Rattus norvegicus: one gene and its partners. The protein of the gene in region 2 interacts with the protein of the main gene of each other region in a pairwise test. Links are inferred from orthologs where the notes say so. Each region holds a gene or a part of one and is shown on either strand. Other genes may lie near its edges.

Region 1 (3,845 bases), on a different chromosome or scaffold from region 2:
TTAAAAAAAAATAACAAGACAAAAACCATAATTCAATATACATATCCCTAAGATATATTTGGGCTCATTATGAATCAAAGCCAGTAGTTTCACAGACTTTTCTTTGATTTCTATATTAACATTAGAACTCTGTACTTATGACTCAAAGAAGTTCGTCCCCACGAGTTATTCCATAGCTCCCTCCATTTAAAGGACACAATTAAAAAACTTAAATAAGAAATTTTTAAAAAGGGACACAATTTGGATGGAATTATGCGAATGTATCTTTAAGACGTAGATATGATTTCTATCATTCAAGGATTTCATTTTTTTTCTTTCTATTACTTGATTTTTCTTGCTATTTCTGTTAGGATGATCTTATACCAAAATGTGGATTGGATTACGTTAAACATGAGTCTTGAGTAAGTCCATTTCCACGGTGAGCACAAAGGTTAGAAGGCAAATGGCAGTTCTAATCAGAGTTAACTGAAGTTAATATAGCTTTAAAACACTGTGCTTTGATACTTTTATCTAATTCTCAAGTGAATCTGTGTAAGACCAACATGTCATGAGGCTAGAGTAATACTCCAGACCTGGCCGGGGGCTGTCAGTGGAGAGCGTTGCACACTAGCTCTGTAGAGAGCTGTAGCCGATGCATTGAAACCAACCTAAGTCGATGGGTTCGTATGAGTGTAAGGGCTGTTTTACCATCGAGAAATGAAGGGCAAAGAGGATAAAGTTTCTCCATATGACTCAGATTACAGTAACAGCAAGAGAATTCAAAGCCCTATTAACTAAAAAATATGTGATGTAAAATATAATTTCTAATGACAAAAAAACCCAAAATTGTTAATAATAGCTGGACAATTTTACTTATTGGTATTTACCTTCACTTTAACTTATACTGTACAACATGCTGGAACACAATAAATTAAAATAAACAGGGCTGAGGAGATGGCTCAGTGGTTAAGAGTCCTTGCTTATCTTCCGGAGGGCCCAGGTTCAATTCCCAGTATGCACAACTTAGAACTGTCTATAACTCCAATCCCAGGCAAAGACTGCCATCAAAGACACTGCGCACACACATACATGCAGATAAAAGCCCACACACAAAATGATATATTACAAAAGGATAGAATAGATAGAATAATAATTTACTAATATTAATAGTATACCTTTAATTGACTTGATAAATAATAAATTTCAAATTAAAAAATTAGAATTTGAAATCACTAATTAATTAATTAATCACTAATTAAGACTGAAACAAGTTGTAATCCAATTTTTTAACTACCATCTTCAATTTTCTGATACCCTGATATATAGTACATTATCAAAACGTGAGTTAGAAGCATTGAAAAATATATTGTATGTAAATAAAAATTATCTTGATGATTTGTAGTATTCAACATATTTACATGCTAAAGTGAGAAAATGTTTTTTTAAACACTGACCCAGTTACGCAAGTAAAATTCTGTGATGCTGCCAGACTCTTTTATACCTTTAGTTACATCCCGCATGCAAATCACACAACTATGTTAGGTTAAAGAAACTGAGAGGGAGACTTGCAGTCACCATTTTTAAATGTAACTCTTTATAATTTGCTTTAGTGAGGACAAGGCCTCACTATTTCATAAGCAATTTGGAAATTTCATATGAGGCTTGTTTTAAATATATAAATATTTTACTTTCTGATTGGTTGAACACTCATGTACAAGGGAAAGTCATAAAAGATATGGAATCTTAAGGCCCAATAAGTATGTACAAACAGTCACACCCATAGACACACACATAGGCATGTACACACACATGCATATGCACGTGGATGCATCCAAACACACACATACAGGCATGTACACACACTCACACACTCACATATGCACACACATACATGCGCACACACATACATGCATACACACATACATGGATATATACACAAGCACACACTCACATGCACATACATGTGCATACATATGTACACACATACATGCATGCAAGCACAAGCACACACACACACACACACACACACTCTGGGTGGGGTATGACTGTAGTCCTGTCATGTTCATACTTTATCTTTCTTTCATCATCACCTCTTAGATTGGATTTCACAAACATTTCTTTCTAGAAATGTGTCATTTCTGCATCTCATAATAATTATATATTGGAACCAAAAAGAATAGAAATATTAACCATGAAAAATTTGGAGCATGAAAATCCCTATAACAAATCATCTACGCCAAGGATTGCAGTATAATTAATTGGCAATATAACATTTTATATATGATTAGAATACTTGTTATTTGTATATTTCTTCATTTTCAATGTGTGTGTCTTACATCATTACTTTACAGTTACGTATGAGTTTTACATCCGTGTTCTCATCAGCGACATTTCTCCATATTTGGGGGTAAAATGATTGCCACCAGGGAAAGTGGCTAGCCAGTTTCCTTTCAGTGAAGTGAAATCTCATTCCCGTTCCCCTTGTCCTTTCCAACAGATCACGAGTCCCCTAGAAGTTACTCGTCTACTCTGACTGACTTGGGAAGAAGTGTATCACGGGAACGAAGAGGAACTCCAGAAAAAGAGGTAGTAAGTTGAACAGCATTAGAGTGTTTTTAAAGGACCTTCTGAGAAAGCACTTACTAGCCAGTTAAGTACCTCAAACCTGTAAATAATTGAGCCCAAAACCAGACAGTCACAAGAGCCTAGAAGCAGTTCTGCTTAGAGGCTGAGTCTAGGGCCCACACTCCCCTCACTTCCTCTTTGGAATGCACTTTGGGCAGTGAGCCCTTTCTCAGTCTTGACCTGGTACTCATGAACGAATAGAATTCTAATCGGCTTGCTTTGTGTAGGGCAAGTGACCTATACAAGTACTTTTGTTGGAGAATTCTTCTGAAAGCAGACACAGATTTTTATCAATCAAGTTCTTGTAGCATTAAGAAGTTTTTATGCACCAGTGACTCCTGCTTCCTCACACTTAACCAGAGCTAGAATGCCTATGCCTTGGAAACCACGAGGGCTTTGACTGACAGCTCCTGGGATAGCCTTGGGACCCTTATGGAATCAGAATTTCTCCAAGTTTCTTGATGCTCACTAGAATCACAGGGGAAGAAAAATGGAGTGAAGGAATTACTGATTGGCAGGAAGGGAAGGACTGATGTCACTAACTACGTGGTACATTGTGCCTCAACTAGACTGATGGCCCAAGAGTTTGAGGGCAGGCATGGGTATTGCCTCATAACTAAAAGATAAGTCAAAGGATTCCTCAACCCTGCATTCCTATATGTTTGGCTAACCTCTTGGTAACTGGGCTATTTCCTGGATAGTCAGTATTTAGTGAAGACTATAACTTCCTTTGTGTGTTTTGTTTCTTATGACGCAGGCAGACTAGTGTCAATCCATAGAAGTTAGCTAGCCCCCCACAGCTGTCTATCTGTGTATTCAAAAATGGCACACGTAGGACAGACTGCTTCCTGGGTATTTTCTTGTATTGCAGCATTAATCTACTTTAGTTCCTAAACCGAAGCCTGATGATAAAACCAGCTATGTCCTGGTTTAGCTCAGTGCTCTGTGGGTAGCACTAAATGATACATCTGTAACTTGTGCATCTTACTTCAGTTACATGTGGTTTAGAGTCCTTATGTGAAATCTTATTTTTTTTTAAATTGGTGCGAAATGTTTGTTTACCTTTCTTTCCAGAAATTGCCTGCAAAAGCTGTCTATGATTTCAAAGCTCAGACTTCTAAGTAAGTAGAATAAAAATTCACTATGTGTTTGAACCTCATATTTACTACTGTTGTGAGGTGTGTGTGTGTGTGTGTGTGTGTGTGTGTGAATGAGTGTGTTACAAATAAGATTCAATGTTC
Region 2 (4,191 bases):
TCCAGAGTACCTATGCTAGCATCCCAAGGAATCCCTGGGGTGACTCAAAGCCCCTGAGTAAAGGGCCAACAGGCCCAGTGCTGCACAATCATTCAGATGTTCCTTTAATATCACTCTCCAACAAGCAAATAGACACAGGGGAGAATTCAGAATTGGGAGAGACCAGCCCCTGACTACTGCCACCTGTAATGACAGGGATGCTAATACATGAACACATTAAGGGCCAGATGTGCTGCTGGGGGTTGGCCAATGGGTCCTATAGTTCTGGAGCCTGTGGAAATGGCATACGTCTCTATGGCAACTCAGCTCAGTCCAAGGGGTACCCTGTGCTAGAACAGACTGAGAAGTCTTCCTCCTGTGGTTCAGTCATATCAAGTGGGCTACCTTCTTGCCCTCTTGCAAAATAATGACAAAGGCCTTGCTTTCTCCCCACCGATATGCTTTGGACAAATGAAACAAAATAGACTAAGAAGTTCACACCACCCAAGAGGACTGTTCATCTAATGCCACTTACCAGATGGTGTCCGTGTCTAGAAACTTCACAGCTGCCCGGATCAGCTGATCTTTGTTTCGCTGGGTTGGGTTGTCCAAGGATGTATTGCACAATGTGGTCTTGATAGAAAGGTAGAAAATGCTGTCACTCACCTGTGGGGTTCAGGTGTGCATACACTGGATCTGACACATCTGACAGCACAACAGAGCCATGCATTACCGCTATCATCACAGCCACAGCAGCAGCTTATCTGCTGGGGGATCTGAAAACCAGGCTCCGTCTTCAAACTCTACTGTGCTCATGGGGTTCACTAGACTCTCACAGTGGTCTTTCTTAGAGTAGGGAACTTTCTCAAAGTTTCAGGGCTTTATGTATTTTCATATTCACGACTATCAGGTTAACCTGCATAACAATGCTTTGGGGCAGATGCTACTATTCTACCTTTTACAGAAATGTGAAAATTGAGGCCCATAGAGGTAAAATACATACTCAAATACAATAAAGGCATGAAACTCAAAATAACTGAGAGCTTTACCAGCTTGTTGGACACTTCAGAAAACAAGTCAGCAGATTGAACTGGGATCAAGATATTTCCTTAGTGTTACCTCATCAATAAGAGGTTCCTAAGGCTGCTCTAGGCCTCAGTTTGTGGCCTTGTCACCCTGATTACACTAGATAGTCAAGAAATAGACTATGCTGTTAGGCCCATCTGGGTCTGCAGTGAGTATGACGAGAACACCTAGCCCCAGTACTAGCTGGTGCCTTCCTTAGAACCACATGAGGGCTGCATGCACTGTTATCATCTGACCACCCATGGCACAATAAGGTGGGCAGTACAGCGGGGACCATGGGGCTAAGGAAGGGTGACCATTCTGTAAGGCTGAGGAGGGCTTCATCCTCCTTTCCTCACCCATCTGGTGCCTGGGTCCCGTACCCCACCAATGTTCAGTGAGATTCAGGTATACTTGCAACTGGAACTACTGAGGAAAAAGACATGGCCACTACTCTTCTGTCACTAACCAAGCTATGAAAGACACAGGTAATAAACATGTAAATAGAAACAGACTGCTACAGTGGTGATGCAGCACATGATTATCTGTAATGAGAAATAAAGGCTGCACTCAGGTGAGGCTGCACACACCTTTGGTCCCAGTACTTAGGAGGCAGAGGCAGGCAGACTTCTGTGAGTTCAAGGTCAGACTGTTCTACCGAGCAAATTCCTAAACAGCCAGAACTATATAAACAAAACAAACTGTTTCAAAATAATAATAATAATGATAATGATAAAAATAAAAATAAAAATAAAATAAAGATGAGAGATGTGGCTAAGACATGGAGGGTTTGCCTAGCATTCATAAACCCTGGGCTCAACCCTCAGCACTGCATAAACAGGACATGGAGACACATGAGTCATCTCAGTACTCAGGCCGTAAAAGCACAAGTTCAAGGTCATTTGCAGCTATAAATCAAGTTTGAGGCCTGCCTAAGACACAAGACTCTGTCTCAAAAAACCAAAATCAACCAAACAACAAAGATAAAATGGGATAGGGGATGGAGGGGGAGAACTAGGAGTCATTAATGGTGACTTCTGTCCAGAGACCAGGGGAAAAACCAGTCACACACTACTCAGCCCAGTGCTCCAAGTAGAGCGAACTACAAGTGGCCAGGCCAGGCAAGGAAAGAACTTGGCCTGTTCAGTGACAGATGGTTTAAGTATGGCTGCAGGTAGGCAGATAGGAGCCTTGTCTATCCCAGAGTCTTGTCATAATATGGAAGGAACTGTATATTTTTGCCAGGAAGGCTTGGTGAGCATCAGATGGAAATTTGTATGATAAAAATTTGCTTGCTACAAGCTTGTTACCAGGTGCATGGTGTAGAACTTGATGGTATCCTGCTGGGAGTCCCATTCAGTGGCCACCGCAATAGCCAGGGCCTCGCTGGGGACGGTAAAAAGCTTGGCTTGGGGAGTTTTCAGCTTTCTGTGGTCCAGGTTTATCTCAAAGCCACCTTAAAAGATCAAATGAAAGTTCTCAGGGAATGTGGATTCGAGTGACCATATCTGTATTTGGTGCACACAAAGACAACGCTGACAAAAGTGCCACCATCATCTGGCTGGAGACAAAAAGTGTACCCCAACCATTCACAATAAGGCCATCAGATTTTCAGATACTTACCTTCACCCTGTGAGATGCTGACATTCTGATAAAACCTCTTCCTTTCTGTAAGACAGATTTTTCAAAGACAATTTAAAATAGAATCAAGAGACCTCCAAAGGCAACACCAACTCGTATCATTATTGCTAATGCTGATTGATTGGCTTCATTTTCATATCACCATCCAAGGTCTGCCCTGGTCTGCAGTATAATCAACGGCTTCTGATTAAAGCTTGGAAAAGGGAACAACCACACTCCAGGGACAAGTGAAGACCAGGACTCACTGGTTATGCCTCTCCTAGTATCCAAGCTGGGAGACGACTCTGATCAAGAGCCAGTGGAGCCTCAGACTGTGACCCGAGAACTTCCAACACCTGCTTTAGCAGCCAGTATGCCCACGCGCGCTGCCCCCAGGCCAGCACAATGGACCTGAATGGAAAGTTGGTTTGTGAATGGAATAGAACCAGAGGCTCCTTTCAGGCAGATGCCTCTGAGGAAGGAAGCCAATGTGTGCTTATGTACACATGAATGTAAATTTGTGATGTACAGGCAGAAAATAAAGCTACCAAAAACATTTCCCATCTTCTCTAATTCATTTATCTAATTAACCAGCTAGCTCGTGTATTCAACAGGAACTCCAAATACTTCCTTTAAGAAGGGCGATCTGGGGGGCTGGGGATTTAGCTCAGTGGTAGAGCACTTACCTAGGAAGCGCAAGGCCCTGGGTTCGGTCCCCAGCTCCGAAAAAAAGAACCAAAAAAAAAAAAAAGGGCGATCTGTTTTGTATATCTTTGTTAGAATTACAAGAACTTAGAGAAACTTATGTGTGCAAGGCAGGGGGAGGAAACTGGGAAGGGTCTGATAATGAATAAGACATAAAAATCTTTGTCTTCATGCACTTTAAATTTTTTATAAAGTTATCAGACCTCCAAAAGAGGCATGGAAGAGGGGAACTTGTTGGAAAAAGGGGGTATAGGGGGAAGGGAATGGAAGAATAATGGAGAAGAATATTATCACATTATCAAAGATTGGCCACTAAAGGCTCATTCATGTATCTGCCTGCTTGGTGGGTCTAGTTGGTGCACTGTTGAGAATGGTTGGGAAGTGAGGCCTTGGTGAAGGAGGTGTGATCCTGGGGTGGGCTTTGAGGTTTCAAAGCTTATGGCAGGCCCTGTCTCTGTCTCTCAAGATGTAGCTCTCAGCTACTTCTCTAGCACCAGGCCTGCCACTGTGCTTTCTACCATGATAATGGTCTAACCCTTTAAAACTATAAGCAAGCTTCCCACTAAATACCTTCTTTTGTAAGAGCTGCTTTGGTCATGATGTCTCCTCACAGCAATAGAACACCAACTAAGACAATATGTATGTATAAAATTGCAAAAGAATAATTCTAATAATTATCAGCTCTGGCCACTGAGGTAATATGACACAATTGACTATGTCATTTGAAACTATAATAACATTCTACTATAGCATACATTCTACAACAAAATAGGTAAGTTTCTGCCACTGTTAAATTTCCCTACTTTATGTGTGGGTTGGCCA
Region 3 (3,361 bases), on a different chromosome or scaffold from region 2:
TGTCAGGTGCGGCCAGTGGCAGTCCTGGGGCGGTGTGGCTGAATACCCAGGGCCTAGGGACAATTCCTGTTGGGGAGGAAGAGGGTAAAGACTCATGATGTGACACCCCCAAGGCTATGAGCATAACCTTCAAAGCAGTGAGGAGGCAAGGTATGTGAATTGGATCCAGCACTGGCTTGTAGGATGTTAGATTTGAGCAAGTTGCTTAACCTCACCCAGCCCCAGTTTCCCTGTCTAAATGGGGATAGCTGTTACTCCCTAAAGGGGTTATGAAGATTAAATAAGACGAAAGGGATAAAGTACTTAGAATAATGCCTGTCACCTAGGAAATGCCATATAAGTGCCTGCTTTTATGGTTGTCCTAATTCACTGGATTCAGGCCAGGCAGGGAGCCACCCAAGCAGAAGATGCTAGAACTCACGATTTGGGGGGACCCAACCGTTTCTAGCCTTCTGTCTTTGTCTAGGCATTCGGGGCACGGCAGCGGCGCTGGCCAGGAGAACGAGAGGACTGTGCCTCTCACGCACAGCAGGCCACACAGCGTGTCCAGCGGGCTCAACAGCTGCTACAACTGCAAGTGTTCCAGCTGCAGCAAGAGAAGCGCCAGTTGCAGGATGACTTCGCCCAGCTGCTGCAGGAGCGAGAGCAGCTGGAGCGCCGCTGTGCTACTTTTGAAAGGGAGCAGCAGGAACTTGGGCCACGGCTAGAGGAGACCAAATGGGAGGTATGCAAGATGGGCACTGGGTGGGCTGGAGGGATGGCTCAACGCTTAAGAGCACTGACTGCTCTTCCAGAGGTCCTGAGTTCAATTCCCAGCAACCACATGGTGGCTCACAACCATCTGTAAACTTCTGGTGTGTCTGAAGACAGCTACAATGTTCTGATATACATAAAAAATAAATATATTAAAAATAAAGATGGGTACTGGGCAGGCTGAAGGGGTTACACTAAGATACACAGAGGTGTGGCCAGTGTTTAGCTACCTTCCAGGGTCTGTCCTTCCTATTCTTTCTGTGTTGGGGGTTTCCCTGTTCCTCTGTTGTTCTCAGAGTTGTGATCTAGCACCCACATAGCTAGTGGTGTTTCCTTCTATGATAGATGGGTACTGTTAATCCCTCTGTTTCCACTCCTGCAGCCTCCGTCTCCAGGCCTGGGCCTTGTTTATACAGCATCTGGTATAAGGATCCCAGCACTGAAAAGAAATGACCTGGGTCTCTGTTCCCCTATCACCTCTTTTTTTTTTTTTTTTTAACATTTATTTATTATGTATAGTCATACAGCTTTCTACCTGCATGTATGCCTGCAGGCCAGAAGAGGGCACCAGACCTGATTATAGATGGTTATGAGCCACCATGTGGTTGCTGGGAATTGAACTCAGGACCTCTGGAAGAGCAGACAGTGCTCTTAACCTCTGAGCCATCTCTCCAGCCCCCCCCCCCCTTTCACCTCTTAATAGAAGTATAACCATGGACGTATCACTAGGCTCTCCTGCTGGGCTTCTGTGTGTAAACTCCTGAGACAGCATTTCCTTGAATGCCCGGTGCCCAACACCCAGAGGCCTCACCATCTTCCCTCAATACTTTTCACCTACAGGTGTGTCAGAAATCAGGTGAGATCTCCCTTCTGAAGCAGCAACTGAAGGAATCTCAGGCAGAGCTGGTCCAGAAGGGTAGTGAGCTGGTGGCGCTGCGGGTGGCCCTTCGAGAGGCCCGGGCTGCCTTGCGGGTCAGTGAGGGCCGTGCCCGGGGCCTGCAGGAGGCAGCCCGAGCTCGGGAGCTGGAGCTGGAGGCCTGCTCACAGGAGCTACAGCGGTACCGCCAGGAGGCTGAGCAGCTCCGGGAGAAGGCTAGGCATTTGGATGCTGAAGCAGCAGGACTCCGGGAGCCCCCTGTACCCCCGGCTACCACCGACCCGTTCCTCCTGGCGGAGAGTGATGAGGCTAAGGTGCAGCGGGCAGCCGCTGGGACAGGGGGTAGCCTGCGGGCTCAGGTGGAACGGTTGCGCCAAGAACTGCAGCGGGAGCAGCGGCGGGGAGATGAACAACGGAACAGCTTTGAGGGGGAGCGGCTGGCCTGGCAGGCGGAGAAGGAACAGGTGATCCGCTACCAGAAGCAGCTGCAGCACAACTATGTCCAGATGTACCGGCGTAACCGACAGCTGGAGCAGGAACTGCAGCAACTGAGCCTAGAGCTGGAGGCCCGGGAGCTTGCTGATTTGGGCTTGTCGGAGCCGGCCCCTTGCATCTGTCTGGAGGAGATCACTGCCACTGAAATCTAGGACTTTGCAAGGGGTGCGAGCCACCGCACCACCTGCACCGGGATCCATCGAGCAAGCGCTCCAGGTCTCAGAGCCAAAAGGCCTCTGCCGAGCATTCGGGTGGCCCCATAACTTGGAGAAGCAGAATCAACCCCCCTGCAGTTCAGTGTCACTGTCACCCAGAGGCTCCTGCCTACGCTGCCATTTCACTCCCCACCGCCGCCACTGCCAGTCCACTCCAGCTGGGAAAGGAAAGGGGGCTAACCTGTCCCCACATTCTACCTGCCTGAAGCCAGAGAGAACCAGATGGCACCAGCTGCCCCAGATGTGCCTGCCCTCAATATGCCCACGTGGAGGGGCGGGACTAGGAATGGGGCTGATCCCCATGTCCCAGCTCCGCAAGCCTCTTGTGGGCTGAGGGGGCTGAAGTCAGACCAAAGGAAGAACTCAGCAATGTCTTGTTTATTTGTGTTCGTGACCAAGCCGCCCTCCCTAGTTCCAGGGTTATGGCCTCGTTCCCACTTGTATATTTTTCACACTGTAAATTTCTTGTACAAACCCAAAGGGGAAAAAAATTAAAAAAAAAAAGTTTTGTTAAAAAAAAAGGCTTGATGGATAAACTCTAGGGGAATTTGTTTGACATCCTGTCTCCTCTGCTTGCTGGCTACCCACCTACCTGTGATGGAGTTCTTAGGACTAATCCAGTAGGAATCCCGGGCCCTGGTGGACGACACCATGAGTCGTGAGGAACTAGAAAAGCCTTTCCTTCTGTCCTTTGCACTGAACACTGCTTGAGGCTGGGGGATGAATGCAGTGACCTTGACGACTCAGTTTAAGCCCCTCAGATTATGGTGAGCCAGGTCCATCGTGAAAAACCTCACACCAGTTACAGGCTTCAGACTTGAGTGTCTGTCTCCTCACTGGGAGGCAGTTCCAGGATTAGGGAATGCAACTGGCTTAGGTTGCCCACTAGTACACCTTGTAATTGGATATCCAGCTTATCTTGAAAGGCCAGAGCCCTTTTGACAGCCCAGTGGATCAGAGCCACCCAAGTATGGCAGTGCTCTCGGTGGTCAAATGGATAGGACAGGTATATGGAACCTGG

The links.
Region 1: the proteins of Atpaf2 (region 2) and Sorbs2 interact in binary tests that used the Homo sapiens proteins (3 or more experiments, as listed by UniProt). The two-hybrid records come from large-scale screens. The link is inferred for Rattus norvegicus from reciprocal best matches to the Homo sapiens genes ATPAF2 and SORBS2.
Region 3: the proteins of Atpaf2 (region 2) and Lzts2 interact in binary tests that used the Homo sapiens proteins (3 or more experiments, as listed by UniProt). The two-hybrid records come from large-scale screens. The link is inferred for Rattus norvegicus from reciprocal best matches to the Homo sapiens genes ATPAF2 and LZTS2.

The regions. Positions count from the first base shown.
Region 1 is NC_086034.1:53,194,984-53,198,828, reverse strand, and holds part of Sorbs2 (sorbin and SH3 domain-containing protein 2), read left to right. Parts: intron 1-2,476; coding exon 2,477-2,568; intron 2,569-3,678; coding exon 3,679-3,725; intron 3,726-3,845. UniProt on the Homo sapiens protein: Adapter protein that plays a role in the assembling of signaling complexes, being a link between ABL kinases and actin cytoskeleton. Can form complex with ABL1 and CBL, thus promoting ubiquitination and degradation of ABL1.
Region 2 is NC_086028.1:45,710,213-45,714,403, forward strand, and holds part of Atpaf2 (ATP synthase mitochondrial F1 complex assembly factor 2), read right to left. Parts: intron 3,076-4,191; exon of another isoform or gene 2,931-3,075; intron 2,713-2,930; coding exon 2,668-2,712; intron 2,501-2,667; coding exon 2,355-2,500; intron 613-2,354; coding exon 515-612; intron 1-514. UniProt on the Homo sapiens protein: Plays a role in the assembly of the F1 component of the mitochondrial ATP synthase (ATPase).
Region 3 is NC_086019.1:253,834,754-253,838,114, forward strand, and holds the end of Lzts2 (leucine zipper putative tumor suppressor 2), read left to right. Parts: coding exon 1-6; intron 7-466; coding exon 467-724; intron 725-1,593; coding exon 1,594-2,277; 3' UTR 2,278-2,861; downstream 2,862-3,361. UniProt on the Homo sapiens protein: Negative regulator of katanin-mediated microtubule severing and release from the centrosome. Required for central spindle formation and the completion of cytokinesis.